Rhinolophus ferrumequinum: one gene and its partners. The protein of the gene in region 2 interacts with the protein of the main gene of each other region in a biochemical or structural test. Links are inferred from orthologs where the notes say so. Each region holds a gene or a part of one and is shown on either strand. Other genes may lie near its edges. The genes, in order: ABL1, RB1, CCND2 and AHR.

Region 1 (7,647 bases), on a different chromosome or scaffold from region 2:
AAATTGCCCCTCTCAAAACATGGCCGCCCTGACCCCCAAATTGTCTGTTTTGGCTTCCATTCCCACCTCCTCTACAACACAAATACAACATTGAAGAATATAGTTGATAAACGTAACCCAGCAGTCAAATAGAAGAATAAAGGCAGCCAAGCAGCTTTCTGCTTGGCTGGGTCTTATTTCCCATTGCATGCTCCCTTGTCGGGATAGATACAACTATACCTACACTGGCTGCCTTAATCTGTCCTGCCTGTGAGGGTGATTTGTAAGAAGTTGAATTATTGGTAATAGAATGAATGTTTTGGGTGCTCTGATAAACATGAAATCAGAGTAGGAAAAATGGAGATGGGAAAAGAAAAGCTAGTGTTCTATAATTGAAGTAGTAATGCATTAACTTTTGAATAATTTCAGGTTGAAAGATAAAACCAAGCTGCTGAAGTTCTCACTGGGAATGCTAGAATTTGTATGCATTGGTTTTTTGTTGTTTTTTTTTTAAATTTTTTATTGGGGAATATTGGGAAACAACAGTGTGTTTCTCCAGGGCCCATCAGCTCCAAGTCGTTGTCCTTCAATCTAGTTGTGGAGGGTGCAGCTCAGCTCCAAGTCCAGTTGCCGTTTTCAGTCGTTAGTTGCAGGGGACGCAGCCCACCATCCCATGCGGGAATTGAACCGGCAACCTTGTTAAGAGCTTGCGCTCTAACCAATTGAGCCATCTGGCTGCCCCCCTATGCATTGGTTTTTGACGTCTAAAAAATGGTTTCGATTTTGGAAAACATTTTTTAATGGCACTCTGTGAAATGCAATTTTATTTCACATGTGAACCATTTTTTTTATATTTATAAATGTGGCGTTAACATTACTTTCTGTTCTGTGTTCTTTATAATTCTTGGGAGAAGAGTACAGTTGGTAGAGGGCTAAGCAGATAGAAATTCTGCCAGAGGCTCTAACCATTCTACCTGTGTCAGCTATAAAATTTAGGACAGTTTCAGTAGTAACGTTGAACCCTGCATTTGACAGTTTTGAAATGCAGCATGGCTTTTGTTAAATGGTATATTTTTAACGTTACTCAATAGACAATTTTTTACCTCATTCTTTTTCTGTCCCAAAGGTATCAGCTGTTTCGAGGATTTTGCAGACAACTGAATATTCTGTAGGCTGTGTTGCAACTTTAGACCTGCTCACCTGTCATATTTTTGACAACACGTGCCAGGCCGTATGCCTCATGAGAGAAGGGAATGGAAAAGGATGCCTGGGTCCCGGGTTTGGTTTGGTTTTCACCAGGGCCATGTGTAAATTTGTGGAAAGTTATCCTTCTCACCTGTTCTCTTCCCAAGCTGCTTACCCATGCTGTTCATTCAATATCTGCTGAATGGTATCCACTAAGGGGAAATAACAAAGGAAGGTCTGTAAGCACTTTTTAGTGATTATTTTTTGTGGCCCACTAGAGGGCGCCCTTGTTAAGTATTCCAGCCGATGGGAAAAAATGGAATCAACTGAATGGAATAAGGGCAGATCACACAGGTACTGAATCCCTTTAGCAACTTGATTGATTGCTTTGCTTTATAAAAGTGAGGATAACATTAGACTGAAACAAACTACTTTTAATAAAAAGAATATATGAACGTGAGGAATTCAACATTCGGAAACACTGAATTCTGTCAGGCATTTGTCGGGCTCTGGATTCTAGTTTTAAGTCCTTAAAAATATCCTTCTGCAGTGTTGTATGGGGAGTAAAAACGTATAGTACATCTCCAGAAATGGAGCCTGGGCTTGGGGGCTCACCTAAAATTAGAAAATGGGGGAAGTAGAAAATGGAGATTTGGGATAAGTGTTTAGATAAGTGCAGCTGGCCTCCAGACTGACTTTCAGGAAGCATAATTTCATCTTTAATTGTGGAAAACCAAACAAGATCTCATTTGACCCTTATGATAACCTTGTAAAGTTGGCATGTATGACCTGCCATTCGGAGAATTCAAGTGACTGGATTAATCCCATTAGCACCTGTGAGTGAGTGAGGACTAGGTTTCAGTTCTAGAGAGGTGTCAAAATGATCCTGCAGAGAGTGGGTCAGACTCACTGAGAAGGGATACAGGTCTAGGAATTTTATTTCCACCATTGAGACTGACACTTTGGATTGTTACTCATTTTGCTTATTGCCTGTTGCTCCCTCCATGTGTGCTCTGGGAGGACGAGTCCTGTCCCCTCCCCCCACTGTGTCCCAGCACCTAGGACAGTGCTTGCAACACGAGCTCAATAAATGCTTGTCGAATGAATTGTTCAGGAAATGTGTATTAGAGTTTCTGGCTGGATTGCCTGATTTTAATCTAAACTAGAGAATGAAGAATGAAGATGAGCAGGAAATGATTAAAACATGAATAAAAATAAAAAAGCAAGTCTCCAAAAAAAAAAAAAATTAGGGTGGTAAATCAGGATAAGACAATGGGTAAATAAAGGAACAAGGGCGTTGAAGTTTTCAGGGTGATATACAAGCCAGGACCAAGTTTATCGGCCAGACTTTTGTGAGAGCAAAGTTCAACCAGTTACCATCTGAATATAAATTCCAGTTCTGAATCTGGGCACAGATTTTCATGTGCTCACGTTCACTCCCTCCAGGTGACTATTTCTTCTTGAAGCCTACATAAAATCACACCATTTTCCAATCCAAAATACCTAAGTCAAGATAACAATGTACAAGATCTATAATACGGCTGTGGTTTCCCCCTAATATCATTAGCAACTTATGAAAAAATCAGTTGTCTAACATTACGCTGACTGTTATTTGATACTGAATGGTTATGGTGGAAAATCCATGGGCTTTGGATCAACACCAATCTGGACTCAAATCCTGACTTTCTAACATATTAGGTAAGTGACCTTGAGTTAGGTCGAGTTTCTGACTGTTTTCCCAGCTGTCTAATGGAGGATGGTATTACATGCCTCATTGGGCTACAGTGAGGATTAAATGAGATAATACAGTTTATGAAAAACAATTGCGTGGTGTAGAGGAGGCATTGTGATGAGTGATGAGTGATTCCCCTTAGAAACTCGTATATTCTTGTCAGGTAGGTGCACCGCTCTGGGGAGACGTGGAGAGTTAGGAATAGGGAAAAGGTGAATTTTAGTAGCAGAAGATGGGTTCTGACGGGGGTGGGTTTGTGTCCGCGTTATTGGCTAGCTCTGTAGGCCTTACACAACAATGGACATTTTCCCGGCCAACACAGGATGTTTTCAGGTAAATACATGTACACCTGTAAAATGAGGTTTAATTGTAAAGGTTCCGTTCAAAATCCATGATTGCGCCTGGCTCAGCCTCCGAGAGGTGCTTTAACAAATGCTGTTTCTCTAAAGAGAGGCTCCTGATGCCCCAAAGAAACAATGAATTCTTTAGCAATATGTCGGATGCTTTCCAGTCATTTATTTCTCGCTAGTTCTAACGTTTATGCTTCTTGGGAAGAGGTGGAAATTTGGGGTCAGGGAGTGGGCACCAAATACCTTGGTCTCCAGCGGCGAGCTAAATTTTCTCCCTTAAAAGAGGCTCAAGGAAGTAATCCAACTCCGGTTCTGAGAAAGTCCAATCCGCAGTTTTCCCCTTGCTTTGGCTCCTCGCGGGTCTTACCCGCGCAGTGGAGACATTGGCCAACCCTATGCAAGGCCGGCGAGAGTCCACCGGCTCCCAGGAGGGCGGGACCGAAGCTCAGGAACCGGGAGCAGAGGGTAAGACGTCTCGGTGCTCACGGACAGTGGCGCGCACCACCGGACCACAACTCCCGGCATGTCCTGTGGGCTACGCCGAAAGCAGTTGGCTGGGAGCTGTAGCCCTCCTGCCCTCATCAGCCAATAGGACTCAGGCGAGAGACCTGACCCGGATTCTCGGGGACCAATGGTAGTACAGGGGAGGCGGGTGCTGCCTCACTACTCACCTTGCACTCGGAAAGACCACATTTAAAAGGTCGTCTGGGGCCAGGTTCTGGCGGGCAGGCAGACTAAAGCGGGAAGGCCCGGCTGCGTCCCTAAAAGCGGTGTCAGGAGGGTCCCGGTCTTCGCGAGGCGCGCTGCGGACGTCGCCGGGGGCGGGACCAGGGGCGAGCCTGGCCTCGTTGTGGAGCGGCTCGTATCCATCATGGCGTCGCGGGGGTCGGTGTTCGTCCCTGAGCAGCGCTGGAGCCGGAGCCGGTTCCCGGGTCTTGCGGCTGAGGGAGCCCCTCCGTTGTCCACGGCCCCTAGCTGCGGGGGGAGGCTGGGTCCTGCGGCGAAGCTCGAGGGATGTGACTGCCTGGCGGCGGCGGCGACGTCCGGGGCCGGGGAGGGGTGTCTCGGGCAGAGACCCCCGGGCTCGGGGCAGCTGAGGCGGCCGGGCTCCTCCTCCCCCCTCCGCCGCCTCCCGCTTTCGGAGCCGCGAGAGCCCTTCGTCCCTTACAGCCCCGCCCCGGCTCTGGGACCCTGGGGGTGGTCTCTGTTTCCCCCAGACCTGGGACACCCGGTTTCCTGAGGCGTGAAGGAGCGTCGCCCCCGAGTAAAGTCAGCCGACCGTGCCGCGCCCCGGCAGCCTCCCTCTTACCTTCGAGCCGCCCCTCTCTCCGACTCCCGGCCCCAAGTTTGGCCTCGGAGCCCCCCATTCAAATCCCCTCCCTGCTGTCAAGTGGGCTCCCCTTCCCCCCAGGTTGCTCCGGGGAACCTCAAATGCCCTGACTTCTCCCAATGTCACCTACGGCCCCCCTGCTCTCAGCCCTGCCAAAACTTTAATGCAAAGGAAAAGTCTGGACTCGTTTCACAGGCCTTTAAAAAGCGGACTTAAAAGTTGCTGGCCATGCATTCCTTTTCGTCCGAGTCGAGGGCAAACTCGCGCTGAAGCCTGGGTGGACCCGTGTGCTTTTCCGGAGAGCAGGCTAAGAGGAGCAGGAGCGGCAGCTAGTTCGCAGGAGGAATTTGTCGGAAGATGAAGAAAGTAGGGGGTGGGTGACTTCCACAGGAAAAGTTCTGGAAAAGCATCCAAAGCCGATCAACATTTTCTTTATGTGGGGGAGTCAAAATGACTTGAGTATTACTGACCCTTTCACAGCACCCCCTGTGAACATTCCTGTTTAGGTTTTTCTCCTCGAAAGGAAAGAAATTGTTATTCAGCCAGTAAAAGACACGTAAAATCAAGAAACTTTTGGGTAGCTTTGCAATTACATTACTTCAAATTGCTAAACTGCCAAAACTAATCGGAACTCCTGTTTACATATGTCGGCCTAAAAACTGCTTCCTTCGGTTATGGAAGGTGTGTTTTTTGGGATTGACCTCAGTTACTGACTTGTGGAGATGCAGTGAATGTGAAATCCCACATAAACGTATATACAGTTGTCCTCCCAAGCTCGCTGATCATTCTGAAAGATCTTGAACCCTCTTCTGGAAAGGGGTGCCTATCCTTACTTTATGGGGCAACAGCCTGGAAAAGTTCTTGGGGACCAAAGAAGGCCAAGTTTGCCTGCCCTGCACTTTATCAAAGGAGCAGGGAAGAAGGAATCGGCAAGGCATGGGGGTCCACACTGCAATGTATTTGTGGAACATGGTGAGTGCTTTTCAAGCTTTCTGGTCACATTCTGCCTTCCGTGTTCAGCTCTAGGAATGCATAAGGAACTTGAGCAACAGCGCTTGTGTCGGTTCCTTCCAGGTCTTCTTAAAACTTCTGTTACTGTGGTTATCTCTTAGTTTCTTTGTAGAAGAAAAAGTTACTTGGTGACTTGCACGGCTTTATTCAATTTTTTTTGAATTGCTTATTTCTTGCCGGATTCCCCTTCTGACTGTTGACCTTGGACAAGCCATTTTACGACTCCAGTTTCCTGAGGGGTTGGACTTAAGTGATTTCCCCAGGATCCATAGTGCGTGATTCTGTTCTAACATGAGACATGGGCTCTTCCCCAGGCGCATGGATCCTCTACTACTTTATGCACAGAGAACCTTTATCATGTCCTTAAACTCCTAAAGCTTAAGAGCCAGAGATCCTAGTTGACACTAATATCCTTGACCGTTTCAATCATAAGAAAGATTTGAAAACACTCACTTTGCAGCTAAGTGGGAAAAATCAAGTGGGGAGGCAGCATTCCTCATGAATGAGGGTACCCCACCTGGAGATATTTTACCTTATGCAAGTGATACTCCTTTCCCCATGGATGGAGCTTTCCTCCTCTCTCCCCGTTTTAGATGACATTTGGGGCAAGAAAGGTCGTCTGACATTTTTATGAACATAGTTGGCACTTGAATTCTGACAGTGTGTGTTATACTATCACTTCCAGTAATTCTGTGTGAAGTTTTCAAGCTAACGGCCAACTTAGACCAACGTCTATACCAGCTGGCTGTGAACCAGTTAATTAGGGTTTCCTTTGTATTGTTGCAGCCTGACATTTTTCAGACTGGGTGCTTTATGTTAAAATATTGGTTGAGCCCGCCCACCCTATAAGCAAATGTAAGATGTGTGCAAGTGGCATATACTTTGAAATTCAGTCACAAATACCTCTTAACAGTGGTTGACTACAATAAACAAAGGTCTCTGTTCAGTGAACTGGCATTTGACAGTGGAGGTTTGACTTTCTTACAGAAAAATATTCACCTCATGTAAATAATCTGGGTACTTGGATTTTATTTTAAAACTTTAAAACTTTTAGTTGTATTTTAGCATTGGTTTTAGACAGGCAGTTACGGTAATGTGTTATGTTCTGGTGCTTCCCAAATTCAGCATTTATAAAGTGAATTATTTACATTTTTATCTATTAGGTTGGTGCAAAAGTAATTGCGGTTTAAAAGGTTAAAGAGGGGCCGGCTGGGTGGCTCAGGCAGTTAGAGCTCCATGCTCCTAACTCCGAAGGCTGCCAGTTCGATTCCCACATGGGCCAGTGGGCTCTCAACCACAAGGTTGCCAGTTCAATTCCTTGAATCCTGCAAGGGATGGTGGGCTCCGCCCCCTGCAACTAAGATTGAACACAGCACCTTGAGCTGAGCTGCCCTGAGCTCCCGGATGGCTCATTTGGTTGGAGCGCATCCTCTCAACCACAAGGTTGCCGGTTCGACTCCCGCAAGGGATGGTACTGGACTTGGAGCTGAGCTACGCCCTCCACAACTAAGATTGAAAGGACAACAACTTGACTTGGAAAAAAATGCTGGAAGTACACACTGTTCCTCAATAAAGTCCTGTTCCCCTTCCCCAATAAAATTTAAAAAAAAGGTTAAAGATAACTGCAAAAACCGCGATTACTTTTGCACCAACCTAATAGTTGTGCTCACAGAGGCTTAGATAGTAAAAATTAGTACAGACTTTCTGGAGAGCTCTGGCCAAACATACCAGAATTTAAAATGTGCATCCCAATGACCCAGTAATCTCACTTCTAGGAAACTGTCCTGGTATAGAATCATGTAGTCTCCTAGATGTCCCGATACCCCTCCGGCGGTCCAGGGTTAAAACTGTTTGCACATTAATGCAATACTAAGATGTTATTTGCACTTTTTGCACTAAGGTGTAGAAGTAATGCAGGTTGCATAGCATGAATCAGGGCTGTAGTCCATAACTATATTGGTAGCCATTGTATTCATGCCAGGTACTCATAGTAAAAAATAATAACACTAGTTTAAAAAATTTGGTTTTCACTTAAGAATGTGATTGATGAAGCAGCAAAT
Region 2 (7,743 bases):
AGTTCATGGTTTTAGCATTTTGCCATGAGTTATGGCTATGAAGTCAATCGCGGGAGGTTTATACTTCTGAGTAAAATTAGTACAAACACTTAAGTCTTCAATTCTTTGGGATCACTTCTCCAGTCATTATTTGGTTTACTACTATTATTACTAACCTGCTACTGACATGTTTTTTCTTGGCGAAACAGGACAGTGAGGTTTACTTTGCCATTTATAATTTAGGGTTAAATTAAAACAAATGACACAAATTTTACTCCCCTATTTAGTTATGAATTTCAAAAAAACAGGCTGATTAAAAATTAAAATGACTATAAAAATTGTAAGAGTAAATAAATAGATACGTTTTCACTCACTTTTGGGTTACAGTTGACTAACCTTAAACTTTCTTTCCTTATAGTGGTCCTTACTATAGCACATGACAAGGACACAGACATGCTACCCGCAACTCACCACACAAGTCACAGAACACCTGAACTGTTCTATACTCTGTCTAATGAGAGGTGTTCAATGATCATGTGCTTGGATAGTGATGAAATGTCAAATTGCAATAAATGCTGCTAAGCATTTACTCTTAATTTCTGCACATATCTCCTTCTGGACCAAATGCAAGCAGTTTGCAAACTGGCACTGGTCCAAGGACCACTAGTAGTGCTGCTCTAGGGAACCTGCACTGAAGAGACTGGGAGGAAAACTACCGTGTTTCCCCGAAAATAAGACCTAGCCGGACAATCAGTTCTAATAGTCTTTTGGAGCAAATATTAACGGAAGACTGGGTCTATAATAACGTAACATAACATAACATAACACAACACCACATCTTATATTAATTTTTGCTCCAAAAGATGCATTAGAGCTGATTGTCTGGCTAGGTCTTACTTTCGGGGAAACACGGTAGTGGAGGAGTGTCGTAAGTAACAGAAGGGAGGAGGAGAACAAGCAGACCATGGATTTTTGGAAGACTAGGGAAATTTTCAGAAAGAGGAAGTGGATAACTGTGTTAACTGCCAGAAAGGTTAAGTACGTTGAGGACCAAAAAGAAGCCATGACTTGACATTTAGGACATCGGTGACCTTTGAAAGAGTGATTTCAGGAGAGTGCTGGTAGTGGTGGTAGAAGACAGTCAGGCACTAGAAGGGAGACGTTTGGGGAAGTAGAGAACGAATGGGGACTACCCTTTCAGCAAGCTAGATGGTAAAGAAATGGAAACAGTGTGGTACCTTATGAGTGAAAAAAAAGTCGAAGGAAGAATTTTTAGATGAGGGGAAAAACTATTGACATCACTGAAGGGGCCTCAAGCTGGAAAAGTTCCATTCCAGGTAGAACATCTAAGACAGATCTTTATTTGGTCTTAATGGCAATCTTAAAACTACTATGCAAATGGAGGAAGATCAGAGGAAGCTTCTTTTAAGAATCTGCAGAATTTGTATTACTTCTTTGGAAGTGCAACAGAAAGCTGTGTGGAGATGCAAGGATTTTGATTGACTCAGTTGCTCCTGAGCTGTGTGTAAGGATTCTAAATGTAGTAGGGAACAGTGAAATTAATTCATGGTAAAGATACACACCCTTTTGTAAATTGAGAAATCCCTTTTTGATTTATCATAATTGTGGTAAAACCAGATGTTGATAAACTGAGATTAATAAAGCAAGTCTTATCTGCCTATGAAGAGCATTTACTCCAGTCCCCAGAACTTTCCTGTGCTCTCCTGCCCTCCCCACTTTTAGCAAACAAGCATTTACTGTGTGTCCAACACCGTGATAGGCACTAGGGCTACAATGATTTGGTCTCCATCCTGAAGGGGCTCATTAGAGAAATAGTGTAACTTACGATGCTTTCTGGTTAAATCAGAGGCTCAGTTATGTTACTGAGGACATACTTTTTTTTTTTTTTTGACATTTCTACTGTACCATCCTTAACATTTTTGCTTTATTCTCAAGTCAGCTTGTCTTACGTCACAATGGCAGCAGCAATTGCAAGGGTCGCATCCTCATAATAGTTAAGGAGTAGAAGAACTGTGTCATCCTGTATCTCATTTTAGCAGGTTCTTAGCAGACTATCTGTGACCTTGGAAAGACCAACTGCATCCTGAGCTCCTGCCTACACTAATCTTGGGCAAAGTGAACAGGATTACCATTTTGACGGGAGTTGCTGTATATAGATGGGGCTGGGCATGGATCCTACCTCTTGACAGACTTTTGGTCCCCACGTGAGGGTTTCTGATCTTAGGCAGATATCGCTGGCTTACAAATATACTTTGGCTGTTGAGTAGGCTGAGGACTGACAACCCCTTTTAAATATTGGCATACATCATGGTATACACAGAAAATGGGAATTCATTACCATCTACTCACTTCTGTAATAAACCCAAGAGGCTTGTAGCCGTGAATTGCCTGAAGGTTTCTGCTGCCTCAGCCCTGCTCAGCTGTTCCAAGGATGAGAGGATTCACATCAGAGCACACTGTGTCTTATTCACAGCACCTCAGCTGGGAAGTTCTGGCGAGGCAATCCTCACCATCTACCAAAGAGAGAAAAACATGTACTCAATCTAGACAATCTATTACAGTAAGTATACACCAAGTGACAGAAAAGACACAATTTCTAAGCCATTATTTGATGGTGGTAGTTCCAGCAAGCTCTTCTTTGTTGTCTTTGTGCGTTTGCACATGCTGCTTCTCTCTTTTTGGTGTTTTATCAATGCAATGTAATGGATGTGTAGAGTCAAATCAACCTGGATTCAAATCCTCTGTCACCCATCAGCTCTGAAATATTGGGCAAATTAACTTCTCTGAGCCTGTTTCCCATTGGGTAAGAGGAGTAATACTAAGCACTACTCGTTTTAAAGGATTGTTTTTGAGTATTAAGTAAGATAATTATGGCCAGCACAACCGTGGTACCTAATGTTAACCAATAAAGATTTCAGGCTGTAAAACAAATTAAATGTTTATTCGCGGGTCTTAAAAAAGAATTCGAATCTGAAAGACCCAGATTCAGGTAGCAACCCAAAACGGGCTCTGGACAGAACAAAGAGATAGGGTTTATAAAAGCAAAACGACAAAGTGTAATTCTTTCATGCAAATAGAGGATTGTCGGGTAGGTTACAGGGATTGGTTAATTCCAATATGCAAACGATGGAGGCAAGAAACCGAGAAGGAAGGAAGCTAAGTCTATATATATGTCTATGTAGCAGTTACTGTTCCAGGATGTTTATGGGTGGGCCTTCTGCTGAGTTTAGCAACAGGTTTAGCAACTTAATCGCAGCTCTGAGAACTGAAGCACAAGATGTGTAGGGTCCCACATCCCTAATAGCCTCCTGACTATTTTACGTGACTCTCTCAGCAATGCTCATTCTATTTAATATTTTCCCCATTATCAATACTAAGCCCTCCTTAAATGTTAGGTCTCCCTGGCAAAATTCTACTCAACTCCCACTGCTCCTTTGAAGATGTCCTTTACACAGTTTGATGGTGCCTCCTGTTTTTACACCACTATTAACACATTTATCACACTATAATGTTATTTACCCACAGTCCCCCTCCGTTTCTTACACGTGATCCCTAAAAGGCCCGTAATTGTCCTACAATTCGTATCTCCTAGTGGTTGGCAGAGTTCGCTCCCATTAGATGTTCCATAAATGTTTTTGTTTTGGCCAACTTTGCTTAACGGATTGGGCGGGAGGAGTGCGGTGGAGACTGAGGGTGCCGCCCACGGAAGAGAGGGGGGTGCTCGTAGAGGGTGCAGTAGCCTGATATTCCCGGGAGGGCCTGAGCGGCACCCCCTGATCCGCCCATAGATGGAGATGCGGCCCAATCTCCCCCACCAGACTGTGCAAAGCCCCGTTACCCGCACCCATGCCTGGAAGCGGGAGACAGGTTCAGGCGGCGACTTCGGGGAAGGCTCCTGGACGCAAGCCCGGACTCCCCGCCCAGCCCAGCCCGCCCGACCTCCCGTCCCCACCCAGCGCAGCACCAGGCGCCCCGGTTCCCTCCCGACGCCGGCGGGCCCGCGAGCTTCGCGGACGTGACGCCGCGGGCGGAAGTGACGTTTTCCCGCGGTTGGACGCGGCGCTAGGTTGCCGGGCGGGGGAGGGCTTGTCCGGTTTTTCTCAGGGGACGTTCAAATTATTTTTGTAACGGGAGTCTGGAGAGGACGGGGCGTGACCCGACGTGCGCGCGTCCTCCGTCCCGGGTCCTCCTCGCCGCTCGCTGGCTCCTGCTCGGGCAGGGCGTCATGCCACCCAAAACCCACCGGAGAGCAGCCGCCGCGTCCGCTGCCGCACCCCCGGCGCCGCCGCCGCCCCCTCCTGAGGAGGACCCCGACCAGGACAGTGGCTCCGAGGACCTGCCTCTGGCCAGGTGAGCGAGGAGAGCCACTGCGGCGGCCGACGCGGGAAGGGCGCCCCGAGGATGCGTCTCGGCGGGCGCCGCGGCGTCTGGCGGGGGCGCGTCTTCGCCGGGGGCAGGGTCCCGGCGGAATGAGGGTCCCTGCTTGTCCCCCACCGCCGCGGAGCGCCTGGAGGCGGGTGACAGGGGCCTGGGATCGGGAGCGACGGGAGGGCAGCCGGGAGGGGTCTCGGCTCCAGCTTGACAGGTGTCGGGCGGGTGGGGCTCGGGTCCCTGAGCGAAGTGACAGGTGCCGCCTTTCCTCCGCGGGACGGGAGGCTCGCAGGCGGCGGGTAATTTAGAGGCCCCATCAAACGGAAAAAAAAAAAAATAGTGTCTGGTGGAGAGTTTTTTCCTGTTGAGATTTGTAGTACTCCGGTGGTCTTAGACTTTCTGTTTTGATCTCCTGGGATGCAACAGTTGGAAGTGTTTTCCTCTGGGCGTGCAACTCCAGCTCAAGCCCAGTTCTGGGAAAGGCCAACCAGAAAAGCCTCGGACGTTGCTGCAGAGACGCCATTGGACGTGAAGTTCAGGGTCCTGAGTGTCAGTTTGCCTCCAGGGTACTCGGCTGAGGTGCTTTGTACGGTTCTCCTATAATAATGCCTTGAGGTCTTGGGGATACAGAGCCATCGTAGTGACTGCTGGAACGTAACTTTAGAGGAAATGGTGTATGGGCAAAAGTCTTGTGAGACATGTAGTCTAAGTGCTTAAAAGGGTCTAAACTTTTTTTCTTTTTTCTTAAAACTGAATGTGAGTCAGCTTCAGCATGTCTCATTATTTCTTCCATTTTGCCTCTTGGCTTTGAGCCAGCAAAGGTCCTGGTGTTTCCCCCCTGCCCTTTTTTTGTTTGGTTACAAAATTTGTGTTCTTGTGCATACATGAAACTTTTTTTCCTAAGTGGAATTTAAATTTAAGAAAGTCCATGATATTGCAGTAGAACACGACAGGAAGATATTTATTGTATTGCAACATCTTATTTTTCTTGATTGTGGTACTCTGTGGTTAAGAAGTTAAGATTGAAAGAGTATAATTGTCATTATTGGGGGCACTGGTCCTACTTTCAGACTACATGTCCATTGCAAGCAGTTGGGACTCCTTTCTGTCCCTCACCACTCCCTCCCTTGTTCTAGTCCATTGCCAAGTCCCATTTCTTTCACCTCCCCAGACACTAACAGAATTCAGGCCAAATTGTAAAAGATTGGAATGGGCTTTTGGAAAGGGCCCGTGAAAGGCTATTAAAAATTCATATATTTCAAAAGACTGTCTTATGGGTCAGTTAACATCATACCAGTAAAAAAAAAAAAATTCTGGGGATGTTCTGGGGGAGAAGACATTATTTAGCTTCTGATTACACTGTGATGTATCCAATACTTGAAAGTTTCCCTTTGGAAAGAGCAGTCAAGTCTACTTTACTAAAGTGTTCCATGTTATCCACAGACCTTTGGAAACAGTCTCGATTATTGTAAGGTAACCAGAAATATTGAAGTTCTGGCCATCACCTCGGACTTGGTTTCTTTTATTCTTTTCAACACCTTGTTTTGCATACCTTTAAATGATGGAAACTCATTGTTTTTTCAACACCTTGTTTTGCATACCTTTAAATGATGGAAACATAAATTCTCCTGTAAGTCAAAACCATACAAGATACAGTTTGCTTTTGATTATCCATACACACAAAAGGTTTCATTAGCATGGGCAATCGAACTCTATAGATGAACTACTTAGCAAGGATAGCACCACTGTCTGGCAGTCTGCAGCCAAGAAATTTACTTAGGGATGGATTCGAGGCCCAGTCCAACTGCACTTCCAGTGACAGAGTCCATTTCTACCTTGACAGTTGAGATCCTTCTTTTACATTATCTCTGGCCTGAATGATGTAGTTGGGAGGGAAACCCTCACCAGTAACTGCATGTTATCTTCATTGTTGAAATAACCAAAGTTAATTATGTCTTGAAGGATGGTTGGCAGTCTGGAATAGTGCTCAAGGGAGTGGGTTATGAAGTTAGGCTATTGGGTTTATATCAAGTTTTCCTACTTACTGGCTGTGATGTCAGGTGAGTGCTTTAACTTCTCTGATTTGGTACTTACCTGTAAAACAAGGATAGTAAGAGTAGTTACCTAATAGGACTAATGTGGGGATTCAGTAAAATTATGCATCTAAGCTGCTTTGGTGGGGTCATGGTAAAAACTCAAATTGTTAGCTGTTCCTCATGCTATTATACATGCATTACTTATACAGTATTATACATACTATTAGTATACAAAATTATTAGAGCTATTCCTCATAATATTAGATGTCAGATAGACATTAAAGGAATGAAAAGGAATTAGCCAACAAGAGTTTATTGACTGCATATCTTGGTTAAGGAAGATCTAAGAGCAAAGGCTGAAATGAACTTAGCAATAATTTGTGTCAAGTTAATCATCATGTAAGAAATGTTAGTAGGTGGAGAGATTATGTATATGAAACATTGATAAGTGTAGACTGTATTTTAGCAAAGTCACTGATAGTGAATTGATTCTGTAATAATGGGCTTTTCTCTTGTTGTTATCCTTATTTTACCAAACAGCTTTAGCTCTTGTGTTCACTTCACAAAGCTATGATCAGGCCAGCAAACATTTTTCACTGCATGGCATCCTTATTTTAGAAAGACTATGAAAAAGATAAACATGTTTAAATTCTAACTGTAATTTTTTTCGAAGATAAATAAGATCCTAAAGTATTTAGAAATGCTATCCTTCAGAATAGTGCCATTATATGCAAGCCGTTGAAACAAATGTCTATTAGTTTTATTTGTAAGTATGTGCTTATTACATGTATATTTTCATTTGGTAGGCTTGAGTTTGAAGAAACTGAAGAGCCTGATTTTACTGCATTATGTCAGAAATTAAAGATACCAGATCATGTCAGAGAAAGAGCTTGGTTAACTTGGGAGAAAGTTTCATCTGTGGATGGAGTATTGGTAAGGATTTTCCTAAAATTTTTGGCATACATTTTTCTCACTTTAAAAATAATTTTGGATTACTGTAGAGAATTTGGAAAATAGAAAAATATGAAGAAAAGGAAATCTAGTAATCTATTACCCAGAGACAATTTACCTCCAATAACTTTTTTAAAAAAAATCCTCATATAAGCCCCCCATCAAAGCCAATCTTAGATATATTTTATTCATAAATACTTCACTATGATATAAAGAATTTTTTTAAAAAGCCATGCCTTATAAAATAATTTTTAATGTCTTCAAATATGCAGCGAGTGTTCAAATTTCCTGAAAGTCTTATAATTGTTTTTTTTAGCATTCAGGATCTTTGATGATATTTTGATGTGTTTCTTCCATTTTTTTTTTTGCATGTGTGTATGTGTTT
Region 3 (8,262 bases), on a different chromosome or scaffold from region 2:
CACGAGCTTGCTCCTAATACAGCCAAGTTGATCCAATGTTGCTCACATCCATCCTCCGAAGATAGATTTTATATTAATTATCACAGTATCAACCAATCTAGTTGGTATTTAAATAGTGAGTGGGGAGAGAAGCAGAGGAATAGGTCGCGCGTGAAACACTCCTGGTGTAAAAGTAAATGCAGAACTCATGACCCGAGGAACAGAAAAACACATTCACGTCTCCCTCACTGGAGACAGGGTAGAAAGCTAAGAGACACTGCGTCGCGACCAGCAATCGCGATATTCAGGCTGAGGTAGCTATCGAGCGGAACTGGACCACAACCCAAAGAAATAAGCCTTTTCCGGAGTTAAGAGCTGCTCCCGATTTTAAAGTAAAAAGTAAAATAAAATAAACTCTTTGCGGGGGGGGGGGGGGTGGTGAAAGATGGCGGGGGCCGGGAAGGTCGGGGGCAGGGCCACCACTTCGACTCGCGGGCGAGCGAGCACAGCAGCCTCCTCCAGCCCGCGGGCCGGCTGAGCCAGCGACACTGCCGGGTCCGCGGCTTGTGCGCCCACCGCGCGGGGCCGGACACGCAGCCGCCGCCCTGCGTCGCTCCCCGCCCGCCGGCCCCCTCCCCCGCCGCTTCCTCTAGCTCTCCCAGCCCCTTCCCCCACGTGTGGATGACGTCAAAATTCCGCGAAAAAGCCGCGTGGTGGCTCCCCGAGCGGAGGCGCGATTCAGCCGCCCAGCGGCCCCCTCCCCGGGCGCCTGGGGGAGGGCGAGGGACCCACAAGGCCCGTTCCTTTTCCTCCCGGGGGGGCAGGGCCCAGCCGACGCCGGGAGCCAGACGCCCCCCGCCCCAAATCATATTGGAAAATTCACTTTTATAAAGCTAATGCATTTCCAGAGCTATTTTCGGCCTCGTGAGGCGTGTCCTGCAGCTGAATCAGACAGGAAGAGGGGGAAGTTCGGGTCTTTTTACGTTTTTTTTTTTCCAAGGGAGGGGCGTAAGATGCTAGGTGGGTGAACAGACGGCAGGCGCAGTTCTTCCTAACCCACGCCTATCGCATCTGCCGCCCCAGGCACACAGCCCCGGCGCAAGCTGCAGCGCGCCGCAGGGGCAGTCTGAATGCGCAGGCCAGGCCGGCCTGTGCCCCCGGCTGGAGCCCCAGGACGGGCGGGGGGGGCGGCGGCGAGAGGGCCCCGGAAGCTTATTCACACCTGGAATCGCAATGCCCAGGCTTCTGGGAGACTCCTGTCGGCTTGTTCCTACCCACTCCCGTTCCCTGTGTTCTCCAGTTGCCGATCTTTCCTTTTCCTTTCGCACATTTTTCTAGTTTGCTCTTATTCCCTTCCTATTGACCCCCAATTCCTCTTTCTGTACCTCCTTCTGTTCCTTTCTGATATTCCGGGAGCTCGCAGCCAAGACTGGGACACTTAGACATCCACTTTCAAGTAACTGTCGGGTTTTCGGTTTTGGTTGTCTGACCATTCATCCCTCAGTGGAGAAACATATACATAGTTCTACGCTTTGGAGGATGTAGGGGGAGGGCAATGGCCCCCATTCCTGAGCCTAAACTCACTCCCCTCCCCCAACACGGCCTGAGTGCTGGGACGCGGAGGGAGCCGGGCTCGAACTCGCGCGGCTCCAAGGTTTGGAGCCGACGGCGCGATCACCTGGCTGGCCGGCATCCGCCAGGTGAGCTTGGGAGTATGTATGCTTAGCGTTGCAGGTTCTTGCAGAAATGTACCTATAAACACACAACACCCGGCTGCACCCTGCACCTACAGGGTTTTGTACACTTTCCAACCGAAACTCCAGAACGCGGGGAGTAGGGGTGGGGAGCCGGCAAAGGAGGGAATAAAAGTCCAATAAAACTTGCGTTCGCTCAAGTTTATCACTGATCCTACAAAGGACAGGATAGTGTGGGGTGTTTTTTTTGCCTTGAGGGGTGCAAAGGGGATAAGAAAGAACTAACAGTCTTCTTTCTCCCTTCTCCCCCCCCCCCCAACAATGACCAGTTTTGACTTAAAAGCCAGAGCACAGGCTCTTCTTGGTTTTTCTCCATACCTAAGTCTACTCTCAAAGAAAACGCGCACTTTTGCCCAGAAGGCAACGTGCGTTTACCCGCGTGGCTCCGGGAGTGCTTTTTACCCAGCAAAATTAAGGATTTAACACACAGTCGGAGTGGCGACCGAAAGGGAAAACTCGGTTCCCAGTCCAAATCTCCCAGAGACATTCCTGCCAACCTCCGCACCCTTTCGCTCCCCACCCCGCGTGTTGGAGACTGAAACACGACTGGGGGACCGATTCGTGGCGAAGTTGATGTTCGGGAGCATTCCGTAATAGGAAGGGGAAGTGAACGGGGGAACTTGCAAAGGCCAGCCTGCCACGCGGGAAGCGTCCGAACTCGCGGATCTGGGTAAATTGAGACAGGGACATCCGCCCGCTCCCCTCCCCTACGCCGGCACCTCTGCCCCCCAACCCGCCGGAATTTCTCCGCGAAGCCTGACGGGGGTAAGGGTAGGAGTGGAAGGGGCTAGAGGGCCAGGGACTTGAGCGTTCGCCACCCAGGCTTTCTTCCCAGGGTGGGCGAGGCCCCGAGGACGACCACCCGCCTCTTCCCCGCCCTCCTCTCCCCTCGAGGAGACCCAGGGCTGGGGATGCTTTCCCTGCAGGGAGGTGGAGAGGAGACCGCGCTCGATTAGTTATCAAGTGATGTCAAGAGGCTGGAAGCCCTCGCCGGCTCTGTCCTTGCCTGTCGGGGTAGATTTATACTTTAAAAACACCTCTCCCCCCTAACCCCCCAGCAGCTTGCTTTGATCCATTCAAAGGTGGCTGAGGTGAAGTTTGAGTGATTCTTTTATGGGGGTCTTAAAATGTAACAATGTATTTACCCGCAGTGACTCAAAAGCTTGAGTCGGGAAGTCTGAGTAAAATCAATAGGTGATTGTCAGGGACCGACTCTATTCCGAGGAACACCGTACTCAGCTGGAGTGTCATCACTTTTGAGTTTGTCATCGCCGAGTGTTTCATTTTGAGTTTGCAACTTGGGTTTTTCAGTGAGCTTTTTTCCTTCCCGAAAGCTAATGGCTTCTACAGCAATTAGACATTTTCCTCGCCCGCCCCTTCCCTCCCCTTTCTATACAGGAGATTGGACACTAATTCCCGCGGCTATTGATAAGGTCGGAGGCGCCCGGCCGCTCCCCAGCCTCGCCCGCGGGTCCCTGTTCTCCCTCCGCCCAGCCTAGGCTTCCTTTTGATGTAGCGGGGAACACTACCAACTGAAAAAAAAAAAAAAAAAAAAAAAAAAAAAAACCCAACAAAAAAAAAAAACCAGAAAAAAAAAGAAAAGAAAAAAAAGTAATCTGCCCGGTAACAATCAGCGCGCAGTAGCAGGAGCCCCAGAGCCATTGGCTATGCAAATAGAGGGAGGGGAGACGGCGCCCCAAACTCTTACTCACCCTTTTAAAGCGATATCCCCTCCCCCCACCCCTTCCGCCCCACCCTCGTTTAAAGGGGCTGGCCCCCGGGCCTGAGTTAATCGCTAGCACCTCTGGTTTATTCACTGCCCGCCTTGTCTATTCCACCTCCCCCCTCCTTTCAAGGGAACAGAGTGAGCAGCTCACTCAGCCCGCGCCTCCCCCGCCCCGCTTGCTCTCGGGCCCCCTTTTTCGGAGAAGGAGGCACTCTGCGGACCTCGGTGTGTCCAGAGCCCGGACCCACGCCATGCTCACTGCACGTGTCAGCTCCACCAACACGCGGGGGTTCTGGGCTCACTCCCCTTCCTCCCAAAGTGAAATAATTCTGAAAGGCAGGGTGGGGGGGTGGCGGGAGGAAGGAGGTAAGGAAACGCCACCATATCCCCTGTGAAAGCAGCCTTGACCCGAGGATGCATTTGAGCACGTGTCATAGCCAACTGCGCGGGCAGCGTCTCCACCGCAGTCCCGCTCCGGGGGAGAAAGCCTGGCTGGCAAGTGAGGCGTGAACCCAGAGGGGTCGGCGAGGATGCAGGCGAAGGACCGGGGGGTGGAATTCAGGGGCCTTGGGGTAAAGGAAGGAGTGGTGTTGTTTGCGCAGGGGGGGTGAGGGGGAGCCAAACCTAATCCCTCCTTCGCCCCCCTCCCCTCCCCCTCCAGGGCTATTTCCTAGAAAGCTGTATCAGTGGCCACGCTCGCGGCAGACACCTCGGGCGGCTTGTCAGCAGATGCAGGGGCGAGGAAGCGGGTTTTTCCTGCGTGGCCGCTGGCCGCGAAGGAACCGCTGGCAGCCCTGCCCCCGGCCGCTGCAGCTCAGGGCGCCTCGCCTTGTCTCCCAATGGCGCCGTAGCGCCCCCAAGTACAGGACGGTTCTGCTCAGGGTCACATTCTACCACGTCGGAGAAGCCGCCCCCTCCCTCCTATCGCCCTCCCTTTCCTCGCCACACACTCTGCGGAGCGGGGGGGCGGTGTAGGGGGGACATTGTTCTGGTTCCTTTGATTGGGCTTTTGAAACAGCTTTGAAATGATCAGGAACATAAATATCAGGAACACAACCTTTATATCTGGGTATGCGAGGTTGCAATTTTCTAAAATCGCCCTCCTTGTTTTTCACTGAAGGGATCTATTTCTAAATTGTCTGAGCCCACCCCATCAAGTATTCTACCCATCATTCCTGAATCTTCAATACGTGGGCAGGAGTGATAGGATGGGTTTTGAAGAAGCCAAAGTTGGAGGGTCGTATTTTGGCACGATACATTACAGAGTGCGAAATTAGAGGGAATAAGTAGGAATCGGTGGGTTTTTTGTGGGTTCCCCTATCAGGGGCCCCTGGCATGCGGGGCTGGATGGAGGGAGAGGGCCTCGGAGAGCTAAGGAGAAGGGTGGGGGGGCGGGGGACCGCGTTTGAAGTTAGGTCGGGCCAGCTGCTGTTCTCCTTAATAACAAGAGGGGAAAGGAGGGAGGGAGGGAGAGATTGAAAGGAGGGGAGGCACAGGAGGGGAGGAAAGGGGGAGGAGGAACCAGAGAAGGGAGCGGGGCGAGAGGGAGGAGAACTGCCCAGCCAGTTTGCGTCACTGCCTCGGAGAGCAGAAGAGGAGAGGGAGCTGGGGAGAACGAGACAAGTTTGGAGGGGAGGGCAGGCAGAGTCGGCAGCCCCCGAGGCTCTCCTCTCCCACCGCCCATCCCTTTCCTCTCTTCTCCCCCAGCTCCTCTCTCTGCCCTAAACTTCCCCCCCCCCCCGAAAACCCCTATTAGCCAAAGGAAGGAGGTAAGGGGAACTCTCTCTCCTCCTTCCTCCCAAAAAACTTTTCCATTCCGGAGAGAGCAGGGACCGAGTGGGCACCCGGCTGGCCATGGAGCTGCTGTGCTGCGAGGTGGACCGGGTCCGCAGGGCCGTGCCGGACGCCAACCTGCTCTACGACGACCGCGTTTTGCAGAACTTGCTCACCATCGAGGAGCGCTACCTTCCCCAGTGCTCCTACTTCAAATGCGTGCAGAAGGACATCCAGCCCTACATGCGCAGGATGGTGGCTACCTGGATGCTGGAGGTAGGTCAGCAGACTGACGCTCGGTCTGTCCCCACCCGCATTCTCGGCCCCCACTCACGTAGGGACCCTAAAACTGAGGGAGGACAGCCTCCGCGCCCGCCTCCCGGCTCCCGTGTGCGAGGTTACCTCGCGCTCTTTGGCGAGACGCGTGGCTGCTTTTCTGTTCTTTGCAGGATGCGAGATTAACTGGGGGAGGGGAAGAGGAGGGAAGAGGAAAATCTGGGAGAAACGAGGCTGTCCTGGGGCGGGGGTGGGGGAGCATCCCGAGCGCGTGTGCCCGCATGTGGCTGCCTCTTCTTCCCACCCCCATCCCGACCTGCCCTCTGCGAAGCCCGGGTTGCTTTCTGTGCAGTGAAGAAGGGAGTAGGACCGTGAAATCGGTACCCAGAAGTAAAAGGCAGCCTCCCCAAAAGCCAGAACAAATTCGTCCTAGCCTCAGGTTCCCGCATGTGGTCGCGACTCCGCGTTGGCACTAAGGGGGGAGGGGGAAGGAGGAGGGAGGAGGAGAGAAACGGGGAATTCAGGAGCCCCGGAAGTCACATTGAAGAAATGTGTGTTTTAGGAGAACCCAAAAGAAATACTTCTTTACCCTTGCTCCAAATCTTTGCCGAGAGCAAGCCGTGTGCCCACGTATGCACAGCTCTGGACCTGCCGCGGTTTCGCCATGTTGCTTTGCAAAACTCTGGTTGGAAAGGCTGGAAAACGTCGCCCGCTCCCCTTCGCACCCCATTATCTCGGCCACCCCACTTCTAATAGTGCCCTCTCCCCCAACCCCCACTTCACAATGGTTACTTACAGTTTGGCTTTCCAGTTTCCTCGGTGCGGAGATTTGGGTGGGGTAGGAAGGGGGGGAGGAGGTGTGTGTAGGGGGAATATCGGGGCACCCCTAAAGGAGAGATCAGAGCCCCCGTGCCTCTCTCCGGCGGCTCCCGGGTCCTCATCTTTCCCTCAGCTCGTCACCACGTCCCCTAGTTTTCTGCCCTTGTGGGCCGCAGCCGGACACTCCCGCCGCGGCGCTCACCCCTCCAAGTTTCCCCTCGGGATCTAAAGCCCCAGGGGTCAAGATACAGACCTTTCTGGCACCCGAAACCTCCGTTTCGGGAAGCCTGGATCCTCCTTGGGGTTTTCACGCCAAAAGGGCTTTTCTAGGATATTTCCTCGATTTTTAATTATTTTTTGAAACCGTCCCCCCTTGCTCCGACTCCAGCCGCCGCGGCTGCGGCGCTCTTCCTCCTCTGCGCCCTCCCCCTCCCTTCTCCACCTCTCCCCACCCACCCCCCCAATAGCGGCGCCTGGGCCGCAGGGACCCCCCCGGACATTTTTTCTAATTGTCGGGAATGATAGAGCAGAGTCTGGGGGTCCGGATGGGGCCAAGAAGGAGACCCTCGGAGCTTCCAGAATATTTTTATTGATTTTTTGAAAAGATGACGAAATCCAAAAAAGAGAGTGAGTGAGTTAGAGTGAGCGAAAAAATGAGTAGGCAAAGGGAGCGGCGTGGGGCTGCGCTGCTACTGCGCATTTCTTTGCCTCTCGGTTTTGGATCTTTAATTCACCTCTTATTTTAGTTTCCTGGGGAATAAATACCACTAAACAGAGAAGCTATTTAGATTTACCCCAATTTCCTCATCTTTATTCTTACCACATATTCTACTCCCCTCCCCCTCCCTATAAAAATTAAATATTTTTATTTCCATAGATTGTGCTTTTTCACTTTTTTCTCTTTTCCTGATACTATTTTCTCTCCCTCCCCCCCCCCCAACTCTTTCCCACATTGTAGGTCTGTGAGGAACAGAAGTGTGAGGAGGAGGTCTTCCCTTTGGCCATGAATTACCTGGACCGCTTCTTGGCTGGGGTTCCGACTCCCAAGACCCACCTGCAGCTCCTGGGTGCTGTCTGCATGTTCCTGGCCTCCAAACTCAAGGAGACCATCCCTCTGACTGCAGAGAAATTGTGCATTTACACCGACAACTCCATCAAGCCTCAGGAGCTGCTGGTAACGACTGTCCCCTTTCTGCCTTTCATCTTGTCTCTCTTCACGCTGTCTCCTGGCCTCTTCTGCTTTTACCCACTGCTCTCCAAACAAATTCTTGGGATGCAAAATTACCCACCACTGGAATTTTCACATTTGTGGGAGATATCTCTTTTAAACTGAGGTTTTTTGTGTGTGTTCCTACTGTGTGCCAGACACTATGCTAAGAAGTACTGACTGAGGCTACATCCACGAATGAATAAGCTCTTCATGGAGATAACATTTTAATAAAATTGCAAATTTTCCATCACTGAATTCTGAGAAAACAGTTCCACTTTCCACATGACAGGAATGTGTTCACATGATAGGAATGTGTTGTGGTGTGTCCCCTAAGAACCCGGAGGTCAAAGGTAGTGACTTACATATTTATAAAGTCTAAAGATACCTGCACGTAGATAGCCATTCACTAAAGATCAGCTCACTGACTTTTGCACAAAGTCAAAATGTGGCCCTCATTGGAGGAAGCTGAGGCTTGGACTCCTGCCTCCAGTGGGGCTGTGACCTCTGTACAACCACAGGGGTCCTCTCTTGACTGGTTTCATGACAGCAAACCCTTTCCCCACCCAATCTAACTCTTTTTCCCTGCAGCTTCACACTTAGGACGTCCATGTTGCAGCAGTGGAATGGTAGAGCGGCTCAGCGGCCCACCTTCAGTGGTCTGCATACCTTTCTCTGCACTGTTCGGAAAAGGGGCCCCCCCCCCCGCTTACCGTCCTTTCCTCCTC
Region 4 (8,118 bases), on a different chromosome or scaffold from region 2:
TCACAGTTGCAATTACACATGTATTTGTAAAACTACTTGATTAATTCTTGTGTCTCCCGTTACAACATAAGCTCTAAGAGGGTAGGAATATGTCTGATACCACAGCAGTTCCCACAGTGTTTAGTATATGATAGGAACTAAAACACTTTGCTGAATGAAATGAATGAATGCATGTACTGTGACAGAATAGGTATAGCATTCATTCTGATTGTATTTCTTTATTCTAGAACAGCTATTTATAACAGCATTGCTAAAATGTATTTCTTTTTTTCATAATATTTAGCAGGAATAAGGAACCCATAGACATACTTCGGCATCTGAAACCTCAGAAAGCAATCTCACCTCAACTAAATAAAAGGATAACATTGCTTTTGATAAGGCAAGTCAAATATTCTTAAACTTTTATAGGCAAATTAATTGTTATAAGGAAAAAAACTCATGTTACTACATAAAAATTGCTAATAAAAAATTTAAAAATTTAGCGATGGCCACGAATCACACCTCGAAAACTATGTTCTATAATGCTGATATTAGGAGTAGAGAGTGATAGTTTCTAGAAAGTGGCAAGTCACTATACTACAACGATTAATTTTATTGACACACTAAGCAAAAATGTTAAGGGAAGTGTATGGTGTCACTATTAGAATAAAATGAATTCTAAAAATCTTATCAACATTCTATTTTAATCTTGGTTATACAAAGATTCATTACTTAACTAAGAATGGAATATAACAAAGCATTATATGATTTCTGGATAATGAAAATAATCTTAAAGTCAAACAGAATATAAGGGTATGTAAGTAGAACAAAATAAGAGAATGATTGTACCAAATAACCAAAAACCTTTAAAAAGGTGGATTTAATTACAGTGGCCAAGACATGGAACCAACCAAAGTGTCCTTCGATAGATGACTGGATAAAGAAGATGTGGTATATACACAATAGAATACTATTCTGCCATCAGAAAAGATGAAATAGTACCATTTGTGACAACATGGATGGATCTTGAGATTATTATTCTAAGTGAAATAAATCAGACAGAAGAAGTTGAGAACCATATGATTTCACTGATATGTGACATATAAAACTGAAAACAACAAAGGAACAAGACAAACAAATGAAGAAACAAAAACTCATAGACACTGAGAATAATTTAGTGGTTACCAGAGGGTAAGGGGGGAGTGGCGTGGTAGGTGATGGTAAACAGTATCAAATATATGGTGATGGAAGGAGAACTGACTCTGAAGTGGTGAACACACAATGTGATGTATAGATGATGTATTACAGAATTGTACACCTGAAATTATGTAACTTTACAAACAATTGTCACTCCAATAAACTTGAATAAAAAAAAAAGTGGACTTAAAAAAAAACCGCAACAACACTGAATTATTATAAGGTTGATTGATGAGACTTCATACATACTAAAATCTGGCTCTCTCTGAGGCTATCATTTTCCTAAGAGTTCTCCCAAATGGTGCCTAATTATTTTCTCTCATCACACATCCATGATACAGGGTTGATGTCCACCTAGTTCCCTGTTGCCACTTCCCAGAACCCTTTTACTTTATGGTCCTGTAAAATTAAAACAAAAGCCATCAACCCATCAACCACAAAACACACTATTCCTTTGTAGCTCATGTTGTAACACCCTCCTCATCACATCTCCTTTATCTTTCTGATCCTAAATTACTAGCCTACGACATCTCACCCACCATTCTCCTCTTCCCCAGCTTTTGTAGAGGAGTTCTCCGCAAACTTTAGGTACATTTGAATCACCTAGGAGACCCTGTTAAATTTAGACTATGACTCAGTAAGGACACCCAGAGATTCTGCATTTCTTATCACTCCCATGAGAAGCTGTGGACCACTTTGAAGAGTAAAGCACTAGAGAGTCTATTTCTGCTATTATCTAATCTACTATAATCCTAATTCTCTATTTCTGCTTTGGCACTTATTCCCTCCTGTTTTTAATATCTATGGTTCCTTTTCTGCTCCTTGTCTTTCTTACAGTCAGTCTCCCTCAACTATTTAAGCATCACGCATTAAAAAAAAAAAAAAAAAAAAAAAAAAAATCTAGTTTAACTCTTTACTCCCCCTAGCTACCATCCTAGGTCTCACTCTTTCACAGCCCAAATTTTCAAAAAAGAAATTGTGTTTGCCAATGTCATTTCATCTTCAATTCAATTCTGTACCCACTTCAGTCAGACTTGCAGGTCCATTAGTCCACCAACATAGTATTCACAGAAGTCACCAATGACCCCACGTTGAGAAGCCAAAAAAGACATTTTCAGTTCTCATCTTATTTGAACCTCTCAACAGCATTCAATACTGTTAGCCACTCCTGACATTTCTCTACCTTTTCCTCCATGACACAATAGTCCCCTTACTCTTCTGTTACCATTCTAGCAAATCTTTACAATCAGTTTTACAGGACCATAAACTTCTTCTATCCAGCTAATAGTACATATTGAAGTTCTTTGGGGTTCCATACTTCTTTTCCAGTATATATTCACACCCTACAATTTCCATGCTCTCAGCACCTAAATGCCAATGACTTCTGAATTTGTCTCAAGCTTATACATCTTTGTTACAAACCTGTATATTCTATGGTCTACTTAATATCTTCTCTTCGATGTCTCAAAGGTACCTCAAACATGAGATCCAAAGCTAAGTTAATTTCCCACTAGTACATGCCATTGTCACATAGCTAGATACATAATCCAGAAAACTATTATTATGTTTTTGACATGTCCTCTTCCCTCACTGTCATAAATACACTCCATTTTCGAAGACCTCCCAAATATCTATGGAATCTATTCAGTTTTCTCCATTTCCACAATCACCCATCCTAGTATCAATAATTGTCATCTCTTGGTTGGGCTACCGCAAATGGTTTCCTGAGGAGTGTTACTTTTATCCATTCCACTCTGTTGCTCCCTCTTTAATTTGTTCTACACCCTGCAGATATGGTGATATTTTTGAAACACAAATTTGATCATTTGTGCCTGTCTCTGCTGATCATACTGAACTTGTTTTAATCCTTCATACCTGCCCTCCTTCTCATTAAAGGGATGTTGCTTGTACTATTTCATTGGCTTGGAATGTTCTTGCTTTCCCTTCCTTTCTCCTACGATAGCCTACTTTATCCTTCAGACCTCAGCTCAATCATCATTTTTTAAGGGAAAGCCTACCTTTGCTTCAATGAGTAGGTCAGATTTATCTACTAGAAAATCATACTGAATCATGTACTTCTCCATTACAGTATTCCCCAAGAGCATGGTAAATTTCTGATTTGTTCACCATGGTCTCCCCACAATTCCTGGCACATTGGAGTTCCCCCGCAAACATCTATTGATTGAATTAATGTGTAGAGGGGATATCAGGTGAGGAATCCTGAATGGTATGGCATTTGAGCTGGTATTATTGAAGAATAAGGTGGAGGTAAATGAATTAGGGATATTGCAAATAACAAAATTTAATAGTTTTTGCTGGGGTATTTATATATAAGTGGTAGCAGAATTGAAAATGATTCATAGGTCGATCGGGAAAATGGTAACACCAATGAAAAAGTTTCAGCTAAAGAAAATGATGAGTTAATTTATTGATGCACTGAATTTGCAGTAACAAACTGACCAGGTGGAAACGGCTTGAAGACATTTTAAAATGTAGGAATGGATGTGGTATGAGATGTCACCCAGATATCTTGATCTGGATGCCCTTCTGCTCCTGACACACAAATATACAGTTAACCACACAGAAAGAGTCAAAAATCCTGGAAAAATTTGAGATTACTCTCTCTTCCCCTATTTCCTTATCCTTTTCTATCATCTGTATTTTCTCTCTTTTCTCCATTCCACTGCCACTTCCGTGGACTTGCACTGGATTATTTCAACAAGCTCCTAACTACTCTCACCGCATCAAATCTTGATCTCCTTGTAATCAATCTGGTTTGCACTTTCCTCCCAGGGTGACTTTTCCAAGACACCAGAAAGTCAATCTCCTAGTAAGTATCTAAAAGGCTTTCATTGCCTACAGAATAAAATTTAGACTCTTTACCAAGGCTTTATGATTTGATCCTAAATTCCTGAACTGCACTTCTAGCTCCTCTGTCCAACCATACCACACTACTTATTATGTTCCAATGCCTCATGCTTCCCTTCTTCCTTGCTTCCTTCTTTTCAACCTAATTGAAACAAAGTTATTCTGGCTAGGAAAAAGATATTGTCTAGTACACAGACCAAAAAAAAAAAAAAAAAACACCAAAAAAACAAAAAACGAAAAAAAGAAAAAGAAAAAGCCAAGGAAACTGCCAGCTTTCAAATTCCAACTCAAATGTGGGCTTCTGAAGCCTTCCCCTCTAGGAAAATTGAGGCCCACAGGTTATCTGCCAGTTTACTGTAAATCCTAGCCAAAAGTTAGCTGAGTCACTGTCTCTCATATAGGTGAAGTTAAGCTCACTATTTGCCATGTCTATCCTTTAGACAGTATAGCTATGAAGAACTTGGCTATATGTAATTTGTTGTCACATTTCTTTCCAGGCTCGAAATGTGGCCACAGAATCCTCCCCTTGACCTCAAGAAGATGGCTACGGAGAGACATCGTTACGTCTTACGTCACTACGTGCTGAGAAGGTGGGGCCCTCAAGGGAGGGGGTGAAGGGCGGGGCCAAGTTGGGTGGGGCGGGGCTAGAAGGGGCTGGGCGGCTCTAGAGAGAGAGGTCGGGGGCACTTCTGCAATTAAGCTGGTGCGCTCAGCGATAGGAGGACACGCCGGGAAGGTCCACTTGACATTCTGTCCCGGGCGCGTGCCCGGGACCACCGGCTCAGACCAGGCGCAGCTGCATAGCCGAGCGGAAGCTGGTGGCACCGGGAGTGGCGTCCAGAGCTCGAGCTCCACAGGCGGGAAGCACCCAGGATTGGGGAAGCCCCGGGAGCAGCGCGGCGGCGCCTCCCTTACCCAAGGACCCGCGACGACGGTCACGGGGCGCGGCGCCACCGTGCGCGATCCGGGCCGGCATTCCAAACAGGCGACCCAGGCTCCTCCTCGGCCCGGCCCGCCTCACCTGCGGGGCAGCGCCGCGCCGCCTCCGCGGCTGTAGACGGCACCTGCGCTGCGTCTCTCACCGGTCTCCGCCCGCCGCCCGCCAGGAGCCAGGCCCGGCGGCGCACCTGGACGCGGGGGCTGCGGGAGCCGAGGCTGAGAGGGCGCGGTGTCTTCCCGCCGCTCCGGGAGGACGCAGGTGAGGCGGGCGCGGCTTCGTGGAGCCGGGCGCCGGCCGCCGCGGCCGTCCCAGCCACAGGCGGGTCCCGGAGCCCCGGCCGTCTGCGCCCGCTCCCGGGGAGGAGCCGCCCGCGGTTGGGCACCATGAACGGCAACGGCGCCAACATCACCTACGCCAGTCGCAAGCGGCGGAAGCCCGTGCAGAAAACGTGAGTGTCCGGAGCTCGCCCTCGGTGCGGGGGCTGGGCGCTCAGGCGCGCGGGGGCGAGAGGCGGCCCCACCCCGCCCCCAAATCCCCGAGGTCTGGGGATTAGGTCCATTCCTGACACGAGCGGTGGAATCGAGATTTGGGGGCGGGTCGAGCGACCCAGGCCTTAGATTTCTTTCCCCCATTTTTTATTGTATGTTAAAAAATGACCCCCGTCCCCGGCGCGCACGAACCCTCTCACACCCCCGGCCATTTGCAGCTGTTTTCTGTGGTCCTAATTTGTTGACAGCTCTGGTCTGCCCTGTGGGGCTGGTGGCTTATTTAGCATAAACCCCTCTTGAAATCCCCTTCCATGTTTAATAACCTCTACGGTTAGAGGACGGTCATAATTCTCATTCCTGGTAAAGCGAGGTGTTTTAAAGAGCTGACCGTGTGCCACTGCAAGAAGGGAGCTCAAGTGCTTCTGAAGGTATTTCTTGGTCAGGTGTAATTGGCATTTCGTTGCACTTTTGTTTACTTATTTGGCAGTGATTTTGTAGGGCTCCAGATGGCCGTATCGGTAAACTGTATAGAGATGGTAGCAGGTGTGAGTGAGTCTGGTGGGCAAGGTCCAGTGGGGGGATTCGATTTTTCAGCTATCTTTTTGGGGAGTTCCCGCTTTTGCGGTGGTTTTAGGGTCTGTACAGTACAAAACAGATTTGGAACTGGACTTAGTGAAACAGACGTTTTCATTCTTGATATCTTTCTCTAATTCCCTTTTCCCCCTACTTCAAAGTTTTGTCAGTTCTAATGGAGCGATTCCAGACAGATTTTTTTGTTTGCCTTGGTGGGATATTTGTGTGAGATAGCAAATACTTTAAAATAATTTTTTTCAGAACAATAAATCCTGGTTGAGACAGATTTACTTTTGTGAGTTGGCTGTATTCATGTGTTTATTCCTTGTTATCTCTGAGTTACTTCACGTTTTTCAAATTTTCATAAACAATTTTAAGAACACATTACAGATTTACTCAGAGCAAACTAGAAGTGTGCATTTTGCCTAAAACTTAACTTAGACCACGAATCCAAACCAGAAAAGTAGTTTAAGCTTTATATTTAAATCCGCCAACTGGTGTAAGAGTTTAATTATTCTGGAGTTTTAACTTTCTTTTAGAATTTCAATATGAAGAGCATATTGAAGAGCATTCAGGTCTAGACTTGGCGTTAACAGAGGATATTCATCTATAAAATCGACTGATTAAAATTTAGAAGTCTTATGCTGCAGAGTGGCTGACAGGAATACTGCCGAGTCAGCAATTTTTTGTCTTGGCAGTTCTGGGACATTGATTTACAAACTAGCAAAAGTAGAGTGATTTGTCTAATTTGGCTTTGTCCTTGATGGCTAAAGTTGAGAGGCATTGCAAATGCCTATTCTATGTATTTATTAATACAGTAGCACACTTACCATAATTTATAATAGAGACATCATGGACTTTTTTTATATATAGTCAGAAAACTTGGAGATCTCCCTAGTGGATTTTTAAGTTACTGATTTTTTTTGTCGTGTGTTACAAAAAGGCTTAGATGACTTAAAAAAAAAAGTCATATACCTTATTTTTGTATTCATTTTTATAAAGTTTAACATTTTTGACTTATAGATAACATTTTATTAAAGATCTTCCCTTTACACATACTGCATTTTCCTTTTATTTTTATGTAAGCTGTATCTTTTATCTTAATATTTTAATATATTTCCTAAGACTTTAATAAAGTTGCATGTAATAATCTCTTGTAATACAGTGTTGCTAAAGCATTTTCCACATTACCCCTATTTTATTTTATTTAGTATAGATGTTTATCAGATATTTATTGTGCACCATGCATTGCTTCTAATCATATAAATGCCTTAAAATGTCACTTCATTGCTCCATAAGAAAAGCCTAGTGCTGGCATTTACAGAATCACATGAAATTGTTTACAAATTAGTTTTGCCTGAGTGAAAAACGGTTAGCTTTATAATGCAGTTAATTAAAGTTCATTTTAGGAATGCGGCCATAAAATCTAATATTAAGTTTAACATGGATATTTTTAAGTTAAATTACTATTTGTAGCTAATGGGGTCTAAAATAATGCCAACATTGTCAGAAAAACACATCTTTGCACTGAAAATGCTTTTGAGATTTAACTTTGACCTCTTAAGTGAAAGCTATTTTATTTTACTTAAAGAGAGAATATGTTGTAGCATAATTATAGAGCTGTTGATAAGACAGCCATCTAAATATATAGTTCTATAAAATTTTGGAATCAAGTCGGTTACATAATTTTAACCTGAAGCTCTTCCAGTCAATCTTCAATTGAATTAATTAAACAAGATAAACTCCCTCTAGTGGCAAGTCTAATATTGAGAATTACCTTCATTAGTAGGAAATACATCTTAAATATGTTAAATTTAATCCCACTAAAGTATGTTGTATATAGTAGACACTCAGCAAATGTTTCCTTTGTCTGGGAGTAATAAAAGGAAATTAAAGGATCTGAAGCAACCTTGCATCTGATCCGTGTTCCTTCCTACCTTCAAGAAGACATTTTCAAAGATAACGTTAGGAATAGATTGTATTATAACTTTCCTTAAAATGTAGTTCTGTACTTAAACACTCTACCCAAAACAAAAAACAGTTTTTTTTCTTAAACCGTGTTCTTATTTTATT

Evidence for each region.
Region 1: the proteins of RB1 (region 2) and ABL1 form a complex in vitro, tested with the Homo sapiens proteins (3 studies listed by BioGRID). The link is inferred for Rhinolophus ferrumequinum from reciprocal best matches to the Homo sapiens genes RB1 and ABL1.
Region 3: of the proteins of RB1 (region 2) and CCND2, one has a biochemical effect on the other in vitro, tested with the Homo sapiens proteins (4 studies listed by BioGRID). The link is inferred for Rhinolophus ferrumequinum from reciprocal best matches to the Homo sapiens genes RB1 and CCND2.
Region 4: the proteins of RB1 (region 2) and AHR form a complex in vitro, tested with the Homo sapiens proteins (2 studies listed by BioGRID). The link is inferred for Rhinolophus ferrumequinum from reciprocal best matches to the Homo sapiens genes RB1 and AHR.

The regions. Positions count from the first base shown.
Region 1 is NC_046295.1:78,885,656-78,893,302, forward strand, and holds the start of ABL1 (tyrosine-protein kinase ABL1), read left to right. Parts: upstream 1-4,135; 5' UTR 4,136-5,412; coding exon 5,413-5,548; intron 5,549-7,647. UniProt on the Homo sapiens protein: Non-receptor tyrosine-protein kinase that plays a role in many key processes linked to cell growth and survival such as cytoskeleton remodeling in response to extracellular stimuli, cell motility and adhesion, receptor endocytosis, autophagy, DNA damage response and apoptosis.
Region 2 is NC_046287.1:89,097,655-89,105,397, reverse strand, and holds the start of RB1 (retinoblastoma-associated protein), read left to right. Parts: upstream 1-4,039; 5' UTR 4,040-4,225; coding exon 4,226-4,350; intron 4,351-7,213; coding exon 7,214-7,340; intron 7,341-7,743. UniProt on the Homo sapiens protein: Tumor suppressor that is a key regulator of the G1/S transition of the cell cycle. The hypophosphorylated form binds transcription regulators of the E2F family, preventing transcription of E2F-responsive genes.
Region 3 is NC_046293.1:86,595,672-86,603,933, reverse strand, and holds the start of CCND2 (G1/S-specific cyclin-D2), read left to right. Parts: upstream 1-5,040; 5' UTR 5,041-5,313; coding exon 5,314-5,508; intron 5,509-7,285; coding exon 7,286-7,501; intron 7,502-8,262. UniProt on the Homo sapiens protein: Regulatory component of the cyclin D2-CDK4 (DC) complex that phosphorylates and inhibits members of the retinoblastoma (RB) protein family including RB1 and regulates the cell-cycle during G(1)/S transition.
Region 4 is NC_046303.1:21,922,732-21,930,849, reverse strand, and holds the start of AHR (aryl hydrocarbon receptor), read left to right. Parts: upstream 1-4,709; 5' UTR 4,710-5,367; coding exon 5,368-5,432; intron 5,433-8,118. UniProt on the Homo sapiens protein: Ligand-activated transcription factor that enables cells to adapt to changing conditions by sensing compounds from the environment, diet, microbiome and cellular metabolism, and which plays important roles in development, immunity and cancer.